Macaca mulatta: one gene and its partners. The protein of the gene in region 1 interacts with the protein of each later gene in a pairwise test. Links are inferred from orthologs where the notes say so. Each region holds a gene or a part of one and is shown in the gene's direction. Other genes may lie near its edges. The genes, in order: C6H5orf22, WBP11 and ELOF1.

Region 1 (3,650 bases):
CCTCACAGTCATGGTGGAAGGTGAAAGGCATGTCTCACATGGTGACAGACAAGAAAAGAGAGATTGTACAGGGAGACTCCGGTTTTTAAAACCATGAGATCTCATGAGACTCATTGACCATCATGAGAACAGCACAAGAAAGACCCACCCCCACAATTCAATCACCTCCCATCGGGTTCCTCCCACGACATGTGGGAATTGTGGGCGTTACAATTCAAGATGAGATTTGGGTGGGGATACAGCCAAACCATGTCATTCTACCCTTGGCCCCTCGCAAATCTCATGTCCTCACATTTCAAAACCAGTCATGCCTTCCCAACAGTCCCTCAAAGTCTCAACTCATTTCAGCATTAACTCAGAAGTCCACAGTCCAACATCTCATCTGAGACAAGCCAAGTCCCTTCCACCTATGAGCCTGTAAAATCAAAAGCAAGTTAGTTACTTCCGAGATACAATGGATGTACAAGCATTGGGTAAATACAGCCGTTCCAAATGGGAGGAAGTGGCCCAAACAAAGGGGCAATGCAAGTCTGAAGTCCATCTTCAGTCAAATCTTAAAGCTCCAAAAAGATCATATTTGACTCCATGTCTCACATCTAGGTAACTCTGATGCAAGAGGTGGGTTCGCATTGTCTTGGGCAACTCTGCCCCTATGGCTTTGCGGGGTACAACCTCCCTCCTGGCAGCTTTCATGGGCTGGTGTTGAGTGTCTGCAGCTTTTCCAGGCACACGGTACAAACTGTCAGTGGATCTACCATTCTGGGGTCTGGAGGACAGACAGTGGCCCTCTTCTCACAGCTCTACTAGGTGGTGCCCCTAGGGACTCTGGGTGGGGATCCAACCCCACATTTCCCTTCCACGCTGCCCCTAGCAGAGGTTCTCCATGAGGGCCCAGCCCCTGCAGCAAACTTCTGCCTAGGCATCCAGGTATTTCCATACATCTTCTGAAATCTGGGCAGAAGTTCCCAAACTTCAATTCTTGACTTCTGTGCACTCGCAGGCTCAACACTAACTGGAAGCTGCCAAGGCCATCTGAAGCCATAGCCCGAGCTCTATATTGGTCCATTTTAGCCATGGCTGGAGCAGCTGAGACACAGGACACCAAGTCCTAGGCTGTACACATCACTGGGACCCTGAGCCCTGCACATGAAACAATTTTTTCCTCCTAAACCTTCAGGCCTGTGACAGGAGGGGCTACCGCAAAGGTCTCTGACATGCCCTGGATACATTTTCTTTATTGTCTTGGGGATTCACATTTGGCTCCTCGTTACTTATGCAAATTTCTGCAGCCAGCTTGAATTTCTTCTCAAAAAATGGAATTTTCTTTTCATTCACATTGTCAGGCTGCAAATTTTCCAAACTTTTATGCTCTGTTTCCCTCTTAAAACTGAATGCCTTGGCCAGGTGCAGTGGTTCACGCCTGTAATCCCAGCATTTTGAGAGGCCAAGGCGGGTGGATCATTTGAGGCCAGGAGTTCAAGACCAACCTGACCAACGTGTCGAAACCCCTTCTCTACTGAAAATACAAAACTTACCTGGGTGTGGCAGGACACACCTGTAATCCTAGCTACTCAGGAGGCTAAGGCAAAGAATCGCTTGAACCTGAGAGGCAAAGGCTGCAGTGAGCCGAGATGGTACCACTGCATTCCAGCTTGGGTGACAGAGCAAGACTCCATTTCAAAAATAAAAAATAAAAATAAAAAAACTGGATGCCTTTAACAGCACCCAAGTCACCTCTTGAATGTTTTGCTGCTTAGAAATTTCTTCCACCAGATATGCTAAATCATCTCTCAAGTTCAAAGTTCCACACATCTCTAGGGCGAGGGCAAAATGCCACCAGTCTCTGCTAAAATATAACAAGAGTCACCTTTGTTCCAGTTCCTAGCAAGTTCTTCATCTCCATCTGAGACCACCTCAGTCTGGATTTCATTGTCCGTGTCATTATCAGCATTTTGGTCCAAGCCATTCAACAAGTCTCTAGGAAGTTCCAAACCGTTCCACATTTCCCTGCCTTCTTCTGAACCCTCCAAACTGTTCCAACCTCTGCCAGTTCCAAAGTTGCTTCCACATTTTCAGGTACCTTTTCAACAGTGCCCCACTCTACTGGTACCAATTTACTGTATTAGTCTATTTTCACACTGCTGATAAAGACATACCCAAGACTGGGCAATTTACAAAAGAAAGAGATTTAATGGACTTAGTGTTCCACGTGGCTGGTGCAGCCTCACAATCATGGCAGAAGGTGAAAGACACGTCTCACATGGCAGCAGACAAGAAGAGACAGCTTCTCTGCAGGGAGACGTCTGGTTTAAAACCATCAGATCTCTGACCGGGCACGGTGGCTCACACCTGTGATCCCAGCATTTTGGGAGGCCGAGGCGAGTAGATCACCTGAGGTCAGGAGTTCGAGACTAGCCTGACCAACATGGAGAAACCCCATCTCTATGAAAAATACAGAATTAGCCAGGCGTGGTGGCGCATTCCTATAATCCCAGCTACGTGGGAGGCTGAGGCAAGATAATCGCTTGAACCCAGGAGGTGGAGGTTGTGGTCAGCCAAGATTGTGCCATTGCACTCCAGCCTGGGCAACAAGAATGAAACTCTGTCTCAAAAAAAATGAAACCGTCAGATCTTGGCTGGGCGCAGTGGCTCACGCCTATAATCCCAGCACTTTGGGAGGCTGAGGCAGGCGGATCATGAGGTCAGGAGATGGAGACCATCCTGGCTAACATGGCGAAACCCCGTCTCTACTAAAAAATTAGCCAGGCGTGGTGGCAGGCACCTGTAGTCCCAGCTACTCTGGAGGCTGAGGCAGGAGAGTGGCATGAACCCGGGAGGCGGAGCTTGCAGTGAGCCGAGATAGTGCCACTGCACTCCAGCCTGGGCGACATAGTGAGACTCCGTCTCAAAGAAAACAAAACAAACAAAAAAAAAACCCCATCAGTTCTCCTGATATTCATTCACTGTCATGAGAACAGTGCCGGAAAGATCTGCCGCCATAATCACTTCCCACTGGGTTCTCCCATGACACATGGGAATTGTGGGAGTTACAATTCAAGATGAGATTTGAGTGGAGATACAGCAAAACCATATAATGAGCAAAAGAATATTTTGGTGAAACCTGAGCAAATCCAAGACTTATACTGTTTTGTTTAACTTTTTTTTTTTTTTTCCAGGAGCATACATTCAAGTTACCCTGAGTAAATGCTTCCAAGACCTACATTTTTTTTTTTTTTTTTTGGAGACGGAGTCTCTGTCTGTCGCCCAGGCTGGAGTGCAGTGGTGTGATCTTGGCTCACTGCAAGCTCCGCCTTCTGGGTTCACGCCATTCTCCTGCCTCAGCCTCCTGAGTAGCTGGGACTACAGGTGCCCGCCACCACACCCAGCTAATTTTTTGTATTTTTAGTAGAGACGGGGTTTCACCGTGGTCTCGATCTCCTGACCTCGTGATCCACCTGCCTCGGCCTCCCAAAGTGCTGGGATTACAGGCGTGAGCCACCATGCTCAGCCAAGACTTACATTTTTTAAAAAATGGTATTTAAGATTATTACAAGATACTTAAGGTTTGAAAATATTTTGAGGCCAGGAACAGTGGCTCACACTTGTAATCCCAGCACTTTGGGAGGTCAGGGCAGGTAGATCACTTGAGC
Region 2 (3,750 bases), on another chromosome or scaffold:
GGTTTATCAGCTTTAACCTACCAGATCTTGTCATTGCTTTCCGACACTGAAATTCAATCTAAAATCAAATCAAGAATTTCCTAACACAAAGGTAAGTTTAGGTATAGGACCGATCATATTACCTTCAAGGGCAGTTTAAAGATTCTGCCAAAAATTAATATGTATCTCCAACAATATTTTGAAATATTTATAACTGGTGGTAAGAATAGACTTCCTACAAGGGATAGTCTGGTTAAGATTAGAAATAACCAAGCGTACCCTCTAAGATAGTTTTTTAAATGTTTAAACTTACCTTTAAGGGAAATAAGTGGGGGCTGACTCAGGGAAAGAGGGGATAGTAGGTAAGGAAAGGGCAAAGGCTAGAGTTAAGTGAATAATCCTGTACGTAGAGTGACATCATAGAGGACTTTTGGCTGGTGAATAGACCAGTAGGGAATACGGCCAATATATATCAACCTTGCCACTCATAAACTTAAAACCGACTGCATATGTATCCCCGTATTTCTTCTTCAGAACACTACTAATAAATAAATAATAAATCACCGCCCGTATAAGCAATTTGCGACTCTAATACGGGTGCTGATTTATTTGTTCAGGTGGTCTACAAATGTTCTGTTCTGCGCGTCTATTAAATTTCCACACGTACCAGACGCCCACATGGGATAACCTGATGCTTACAAAGCGGATTAAACTCAGTAGCAAATGTTATCTGGGTATTCGTTTACAAACGGAGACACCCCTAAAGGATCGCACCTGCTTGCGTCATAAGAAACATAAAAATCCAAAAACTAACGTAATTCCAAGAGACACAAAACGCGGAACGCTTCTGCATCTGCAGAAAGTACCGTTCTCGGACAGGTCAACGCATTACGCCCCCAGCAACTAGGTCAGAACGCCTCCAACTTGAGAGACAGGACCGTCAGCCAATCAGATAGCAGCTATCTTCTTTCAATTCCTATTGTACTAGATGAGCGCAATGAGGCGGGCTCTTAGCCGACAACCAACCAATGGAGTATTGTATGGGACCGGAAGAGACTCTGGTCCTGGAATTCTTGAGTATTCTCTATGGTTCTAGGGCCGAGCTGCGCTAAGAGACAGCGGGACAGAGGAATGGGAAATGACGTAAGGATTGCGGAGGGGCGCGAGGTTTCAAGATGGCGGTAGCTGAGGGGTAGACCGAGAGGCCGAGTTGAAGGCCCTTACGAAGTGAAAGAGGCCGGGAATCGCCCCCTGCCCGCTTCTCGTAGTCCTGGGAGCACAGCAGAAGTGTGAGTGTATGGAGTTGCTCTACTTCTTTTCCTCATCTCTTTCGTCCCTTCCACGGCCCGCGCAGTGGCTTGGGGGACACCCAGTCCCTTTGCCCCGCTCCTCCTCTCCCCGGCTGGGGTCTCCCGGTTGCGGACTGGGGTATTCCAGGGCCTGGGGTGGCGCGGCGACCAGTGGTTACGCGGTTGGCATCGCCCGGGGCGGTTGGGGCCGCTTCCTATGCACGTTGATTGGTAGCCTTAGGTTTGACGTCTTGTACCTCGAGTCATGGTCGGTCAACCGTCACTATGGTTTCGGCAGTTGCTGGTGTTGCCTCCTTTGGTGGACCTGGACCCTATCCCATTGAAGGTTTTTTGGCTATTTACAGTTCCCCAACGGTTATTTGGCTTGATTTTTCCAGTCGCCCCCGCTTGTAGACAAAAAACTAATCTTTGCAGACTTAAGCTCCCGTATCTTCCGTAAAATTCTCTGTAATTCGTATCCGTTGTGTTTCATTTGTGGGGGAGGAGATTCAGAACATGAGCCCGCTTGAGAAAGGAAAGCACGAAAAACGCAGGCAATCAAAGATGGGAGAGCTTGTATTTGTACGAATTTTGCATGTTTTCTTCCTTCCCTACCTCCTACTCCCTGCTGCTCTCCCACCCACACCTCCACCCCCCAGTTTTTCTGAGAAGGAAACCACTTGACAGGGTGTATGGTAGCTAGGGCAGGAATATGGATCCATTATAAAGATTATAGTTAAATAGTGAGTCAAACATCACAAGATATTTTATTTGTAATCCCGTTGTATCATCAGAGCTTTGTTATAAAGTAATTGATGTCCCCATTTTTTAGATGAGGAAGCTAAAAATCAGAGCCTTTGACACCACCGTCTTGAAGTAATTGCCACCAGAACAGCTATGAAACATCTAGCTTTCTGAAACATCTGGCTTTCGGGGCAATTGGACACTTGGCGAAAGACACATTAACTGTAACAAACTGGTCTGAAAATCTTCCCTTTCTTCCCTTTAAAAAGTGTCTACTTGCAAAAGGAAACAAATTTGTCCACCTTTGTTACTGGAAAGAATGCTTCAAAAAATTAAGCCCCATTCTTTTGGAATAAGAGGAAGAAGTCATGTAATAGGGTATTGTGTTAATAAAAGTTTTAGCTTACAAAATATTTTTTCCTCAAACAAGAATAAGTATTCCCTTTAGTTACCTTAAGAAATATATATTGGGAGTCAGGTATTAGAAAAATATGTGTCTTAATATTTAAATTTTGGGGAGCTCTCAGTGTAGCACTAATTTCAAATACTTGCATTTTTAGTTGTGTTTTGAACTCTTGAGAGTCAAGCATTATATCTGAATTAAATATGCTTAAATGAATGAGTTTTTAGTGTCTTAGAAGTGTTGAGAATGTACAGCATACATGCCAAGAAAAACCATGGAGCGAGGCAAGGGTGAGGTGTTTGTTTTGAGCCTAGATCCATTACCCCCATTCCGTTCGTATTCTTCTTTTACAATTACGTGTTAATAAAGGGAGGTTATAGAAGAAGGACTAATGAATTCTGATGTTCATGGTTTGTGCCATATCGTTAAAGCATTTTCTAGTTGTTTTTTTATCAGTTGACAAAGTCAGTGCTGTGATCCATAAGAAAAAAGATAAAGTAATGACTTGAGGATATTCAAAGTGGTCTTCACACTCATCACATTTCCAAAGAATGATGGAGATCTAAATTTTCATGGTAAAGAAACTTAATGCCATCTTTCTTGGACATTAAAGTCAAAACTAAGGAAAGAACAGTCTCACAGAATTTCTAATTAAAGGAATTTTTTTTTCAGAGATTGGTAGGGACTAGAAAAAGGAAGAAATAAATTTAGGAGATATAAGCTATTTCTTTGTCTTCACCTTCACAGGTTTTTCTTTTTTTAATGAACAAGTAAACCATACAAATTGTCAACATGGGACGGAGATCTACATCATCCACCAAGAGTGGAAAATTTATGAACCCCACAGACCAAGCCCGTAAGTGTCCATTAGTGTGGAATGATGAAGTAGGAGAGTGTTAAAAATTGCACATATTAGGGAATTTATTTCTCTGTGGCTTAATTACAAGACCAGCAGTGATAGGAGGAATAAATTGTATATTCAGTGTTTGGATGGGAACATTAAGACGTTAAACATGCAAATAAATTAGTACCCATATTTTAGTTTTCAGATTTGATTGACTTGCAAAGTAGAATTGGCTGAAAGTTTTCTTTTTGTATTTGAAATTTTGAGCAAATTAGTTTTGCGAGCCCTTGTTTCGCATTTTATGTTATCTTTTTCTTTCAGATTCATAGTTGTTTTTTATGGAACATTAAACAAAAATGTCTTGACATTTTTGGTTGTCATAATTAGAGGGATGCTCTTGGCATGTAGTGGATAGAGGCCAAAGATGCTGCTGTTTTACAGTGCATACTGTAACTTCCCACAATAAAGAATTACCTGTATGAAATTGAAGG
Region 3 (3,737 bases), on another chromosome or scaffold:
GCCAGGTGTGGTGGCTCACACCTGTAATCCCAGCACTTTGGGAGGCCGAGGCGGGCGGATCACGAGGTCAGGAAATCTAGGCCATCCTGGCTAACACGGTGAAACCCCGTCTCTACTAAAAATACAAAAAATCAGCCACACGTGGTAGTGCACACGCCTGTAGTCCCAGCTACTCGGGAGGCTGAGGCAGGAGAATCGTCTGAACCAGGCAGGCAGAGGTTGCAGTGAGTCAAGATCACGCCACTGCACTCCAGCCTGCGCAAGACTCCATCTCAAAAACAAACAAACAAACAAACAAAGAGTTGGGGGTGTTACATAGGAAGTGATCAGCAAATAATGAATGAAACTCCACTGTTTATTCTGGAAGATCCTGGCAGACTGCTGACCTCCCCTGCCACAGAGGAACGATGCTAGAACCAGCAGTCGTGTGTGTGTGTTGGAGGAGGCGCCATAGGAGGCTCAGGGATGGCAAGCACAGTGCCCTGAGCACCGTGCCTAGCAGGGGAGTTGGGCTCGGTGGTAACTGCTGCTGTTTCCCCACCCACCTGCCTCCTGGACATCTGTTCCTAGATGTCCCTCTGCCACCCAACCCCATCATTTTCTCCAAAACCCTGTCCTTCCTCTATGTTACACATCAGAGAATGATGCCATCTTCTCCCCCTAGCCACTGTGTCCCCACCACAAACCTGGGAGTCATCCTGGACTTTCCTCCTCTCGTCATACTCACTCGCTCCGCTGCCACGTCTCCTCTGTCTCTCTCGCCCTCTGCCATCTCTACCCCAACAACCCTGTCCTGGCTGTGCCTTTGTCTTCATCCAGATTGTGACTCACACCGCAGTCCCTCAAAAGCCCAGGGTGACTTTACCCTTTCACTCCTTGTAGCTCCCAGGATCCATCCAAACACCCAGAACCCTCCCACCTGTCCCTCCTCTCTCCTCCACCTGCCAGGGGACAGACAGCTGCCCCTGAGCCTTCACATAGTGTTCCTCTACTCGGAGGTGCTTGTTCCCACTTCTCTGCCCTGTAGTCTGTCATCTGGATGGAGGCCATCAGATGCCCTGAGTGTCACTCTTCGTGGATGGTACTTACATGTCCCTTGACAAGAGGAGCAGCCAGTATAAAATCACCAGCTCCTGGGCTCTTAGGCTCCACCCGGCCCTGAACAGCTGGCTTGTCTTGGAGTCTCTTGGGCCACCTTCCCCAGGAACAGTGGCTTCCTTGTATTGGCGCCAGCGATGATGGGCCAGCTCTGTGCTAAGTACTTACCATTCCTGGTGTCAGCCTCACAAGTCTCCTCTGCGATAGCAACCTTATTTCAATCTTTTTTTTTTTTTTTTTTTTTTTTTTTGAGACGGAGTCTTGTGCGATAGCAACCTTATTTCAATCTTTTTTTTTTTTTTTTTTTTTTTGAGACGGGGTCTCGTGCGATAGCAACCTTATTTCAATTTTTTTTTTTTTTTTTTTTTTTTTTGAGACGGAGTCTCGCGCTGTCGCCCAGGCTGGAGTGCAGTGGTGTGATCTCGGCTTACTGCAATCTCCGCCTCTCGGGCTCAAGCGATTCTCCTGCCTCAGCCTCCTGAGTAGCTGGGGTTATAGACGCCTGCCACTACGCCCAGCTAATTTTTGTATTTTTAGTATAGATGGGGTTTCACCATGGTGGTCAGGCTAGTCTCGAACTCCTGACCTCGTGATCCACCCGCCTCAGCCTCCCAAAGTGCTGGGATTACAAGCGTAAGTCACCACACCCGACCTTTTTTCCTTTTTTTTTTTTTTTTTTTTTGGATGCAGGGTTTCATCCTATTGCCTAGGCTGGAGTGCAGTGCCTGGATCATAACTCATTGAAACCTGAAACTCCTGGGCCCAAGTGATCCTCCCTTCTCAGCCTCCCAAGTAGCTGGGACTACAGGCTTACACCACCATGCCTGGCTAATTTTTAATTTTTTTTTTTTTTTTTTTTTTAAGAGATGATGCCTCACTCTGTTGCCCAGGCTGGTATCCAGCTCCTGGCATCAAGTGATCCTCTCACCTTAGCTTCCCGAAGTGCTGTCTGGAATTACAGGTGTGAGCCACCATGTCTGGCCTTGTCTCTGTTTTATGGATGAGGAAACGGTGGCACAGAGAGCTTAAGTAACCTGCCCAGGTCATGCAGTAAGTGAGAGAGACGGGGTTGGAACCTCCGCTCACCCCTTCCATCCAGAGTGGGACAGGGGATTTTCCTCCTGTATCAGGACTGAGGGCCTCATCGCTCAAGGGCAGAGGCCCCCAGACCATAGTGCAAGTCCCAGACCCTCTTTCCGGCCTGCTTTCTAGAGCATTGAGCGGGGGGCTGCGTGGTTTCCTCAAACCACTGACATCTGCCACTCCCCACAGGCTCATCCACCTGCAGACATGGGGCGCAGAAAGTCCAAACGAAAGCCGCCTCCCAAGAAGAAGATGACGGGCACCCTCGAGACCCAGTTCACCTGCCCCTTCTGCAACCACGAGAAATCCTGTGATGTGAAAATGTGAGTGGGGAACGGGGCAAGGGATCCATCCTCCCCACCACCTCCTCCCCGCTGTTCTCCATCCTGCCCCTTGCCTCCCTTGGTGAAGGCGTCATCACCCACAGGCCCCGGGCACATTGCTCACCAGTCCCTTCTCTTGGTCTGTTTCAGGGACCGTGCCCGCAACACCGGAGTCATCTCTTGTACTGTGTGCCTAGAGGAATTCCAGACGCCCATAACGTGTATCCTTAGAAACCTGGGCTTTTTCCAGAGGATGGGGAGGGGGCTGGAGTCCGGACCCTGCTCCTCTGGCCCACTGTGTGCCCTGGTGCAGGGCCAAGGCCGTCCAGAGGAACAGGTGCCACCTACTGATTTATGTGGGGTGAGAAGGTGCAGGGCAGGGTTCCAATGCCAATGATCACCCTTGACCTAAGCGGCTCAGATCTGTCAGAACCCGTGGATGTGTACAGTGATTGGATAGACGCCTGCGAGGCAGCCAATCAGTAGCAACACAGAGGACCCACCCCCTGAGCAGCCCCGCCTACTGTGGACCCAGCTGTTCGGTTCTGGTCCAGAGACATTCCAGGGGTCCAGGGTGTGGGTCCTGGGCTGTCACAGCCCTCTGTGTGTGTGTGTAGAGTGGGCGTGGGTGTGAGTGGGTGTGTGTGCCAGTGTGGAGTGGATGTGGGTGTGTGTGTGGCTGCACGTGTCACTGGGGTGGCCGTGAGTGTGTGCTCATAGATACGCAGTGATGGCGGGTTCCTGGGCCTGAGGGGCCTGAACTGACCTCTCTTGGCTCCAAAAGCCTTTGCTGTGTTCCCTTCTTCAGCCCCTGGCCTCCCAGCTTTGGGGCTCTGGCTCCCCCCCGGCAGAAGTGGGGGGCTGTTTCCTGATATCCTGAACAAGGGAAGCCCAGTAGAGGCTGGAACTGGACCTCTCCAGCCTCCTCACCAGCACCGTGCCCATCTCAACTGGACTTCCCGCCCTCCTTCTCCACCTTCTAGTGCCCGTGGCCTGGGATTCAAAGCCACCGTTCCCCAGGTCCCTGGGCTGGGCCCTGACAGGGAGCCGCCACCCTCCCCATGCTAACAAGGAAGCCCAGTTTCGTGTTCAGTTTCTTTTGTAGAGGAAGCAAGGGCTGGGGTGGGGACAGCTGTCAATCACAAGCCCTTAAATAAAGCAGCCAGCGCACATCCCTTGCTGTCCGTGATGTCTTGGGTTCTGCGTCTGCCTCGTCACCAGAAGAAGGAGAGG

What was found.
Region 2: the proteins of C6H5orf22 (region 1) and WBP11 interact in binary tests that used the Homo sapiens proteins (3 or more experiments, as listed by UniProt). The two-hybrid records come from large-scale screens. The link is inferred for Macaca mulatta from reciprocal best matches to the Homo sapiens genes C5orf22 and WBP11.
Region 3: the proteins of C6H5orf22 (region 1) and ELOF1 interact in binary tests that used the Homo sapiens proteins (3 or more experiments, as listed by UniProt). The two-hybrid records come from large-scale screens. The link is inferred for Macaca mulatta from reciprocal best matches to the Homo sapiens genes C5orf22 and ELOF1.

The regions. Positions count from the first base shown.
Region 1 is NC_133411.1:32,904,717-32,908,366, forward strand, and holds part of C6H5orf22 (UPF0489 protein C5orf22 homolog), read left to right. Parts: intron 1-1,878; coding exon 1,879-2,076; intron 2,077-3,650.
Region 2 is NC_133416.1:17,239,739-17,243,488, reverse strand, and holds the start of WBP11 (WW domain-binding protein 11), read left to right. Parts: upstream 1-1,159; 5' UTR 1,160-1,268; intron 1,269-3,162; 5' UTR 3,163-3,207; coding exon 3,208-3,271; intron 3,272-3,750. UniProt on the Homo sapiens protein: Activates pre-mRNA splicing. May inhibit PP1 phosphatase activity.
Region 3 is NC_133424.1:12,293,140-12,296,876, reverse strand, and holds the end of ELOF1 (transcription elongation factor 1 homolog), read left to right. Parts: intron 1-1,962; exon of another isoform or gene 1,963-2,148; intron 2,149-2,370; exon of another isoform or gene 2,371-2,371; 5' UTR 2,372-2,388; coding exon 2,389-2,504; intron 2,505-2,654; coding exon 2,655-2,725; intron 2,726-2,925; coding exon 2,926-2,990; 3' UTR 2,991-3,152; downstream 3,153-3,737. UniProt on the Homo sapiens protein: Factor involved in transcription-coupled nucleotide excision repair (TC-NER), a mechanism that rapidly removes RNA polymerase II-blocking lesions from the transcribed strand of active genes.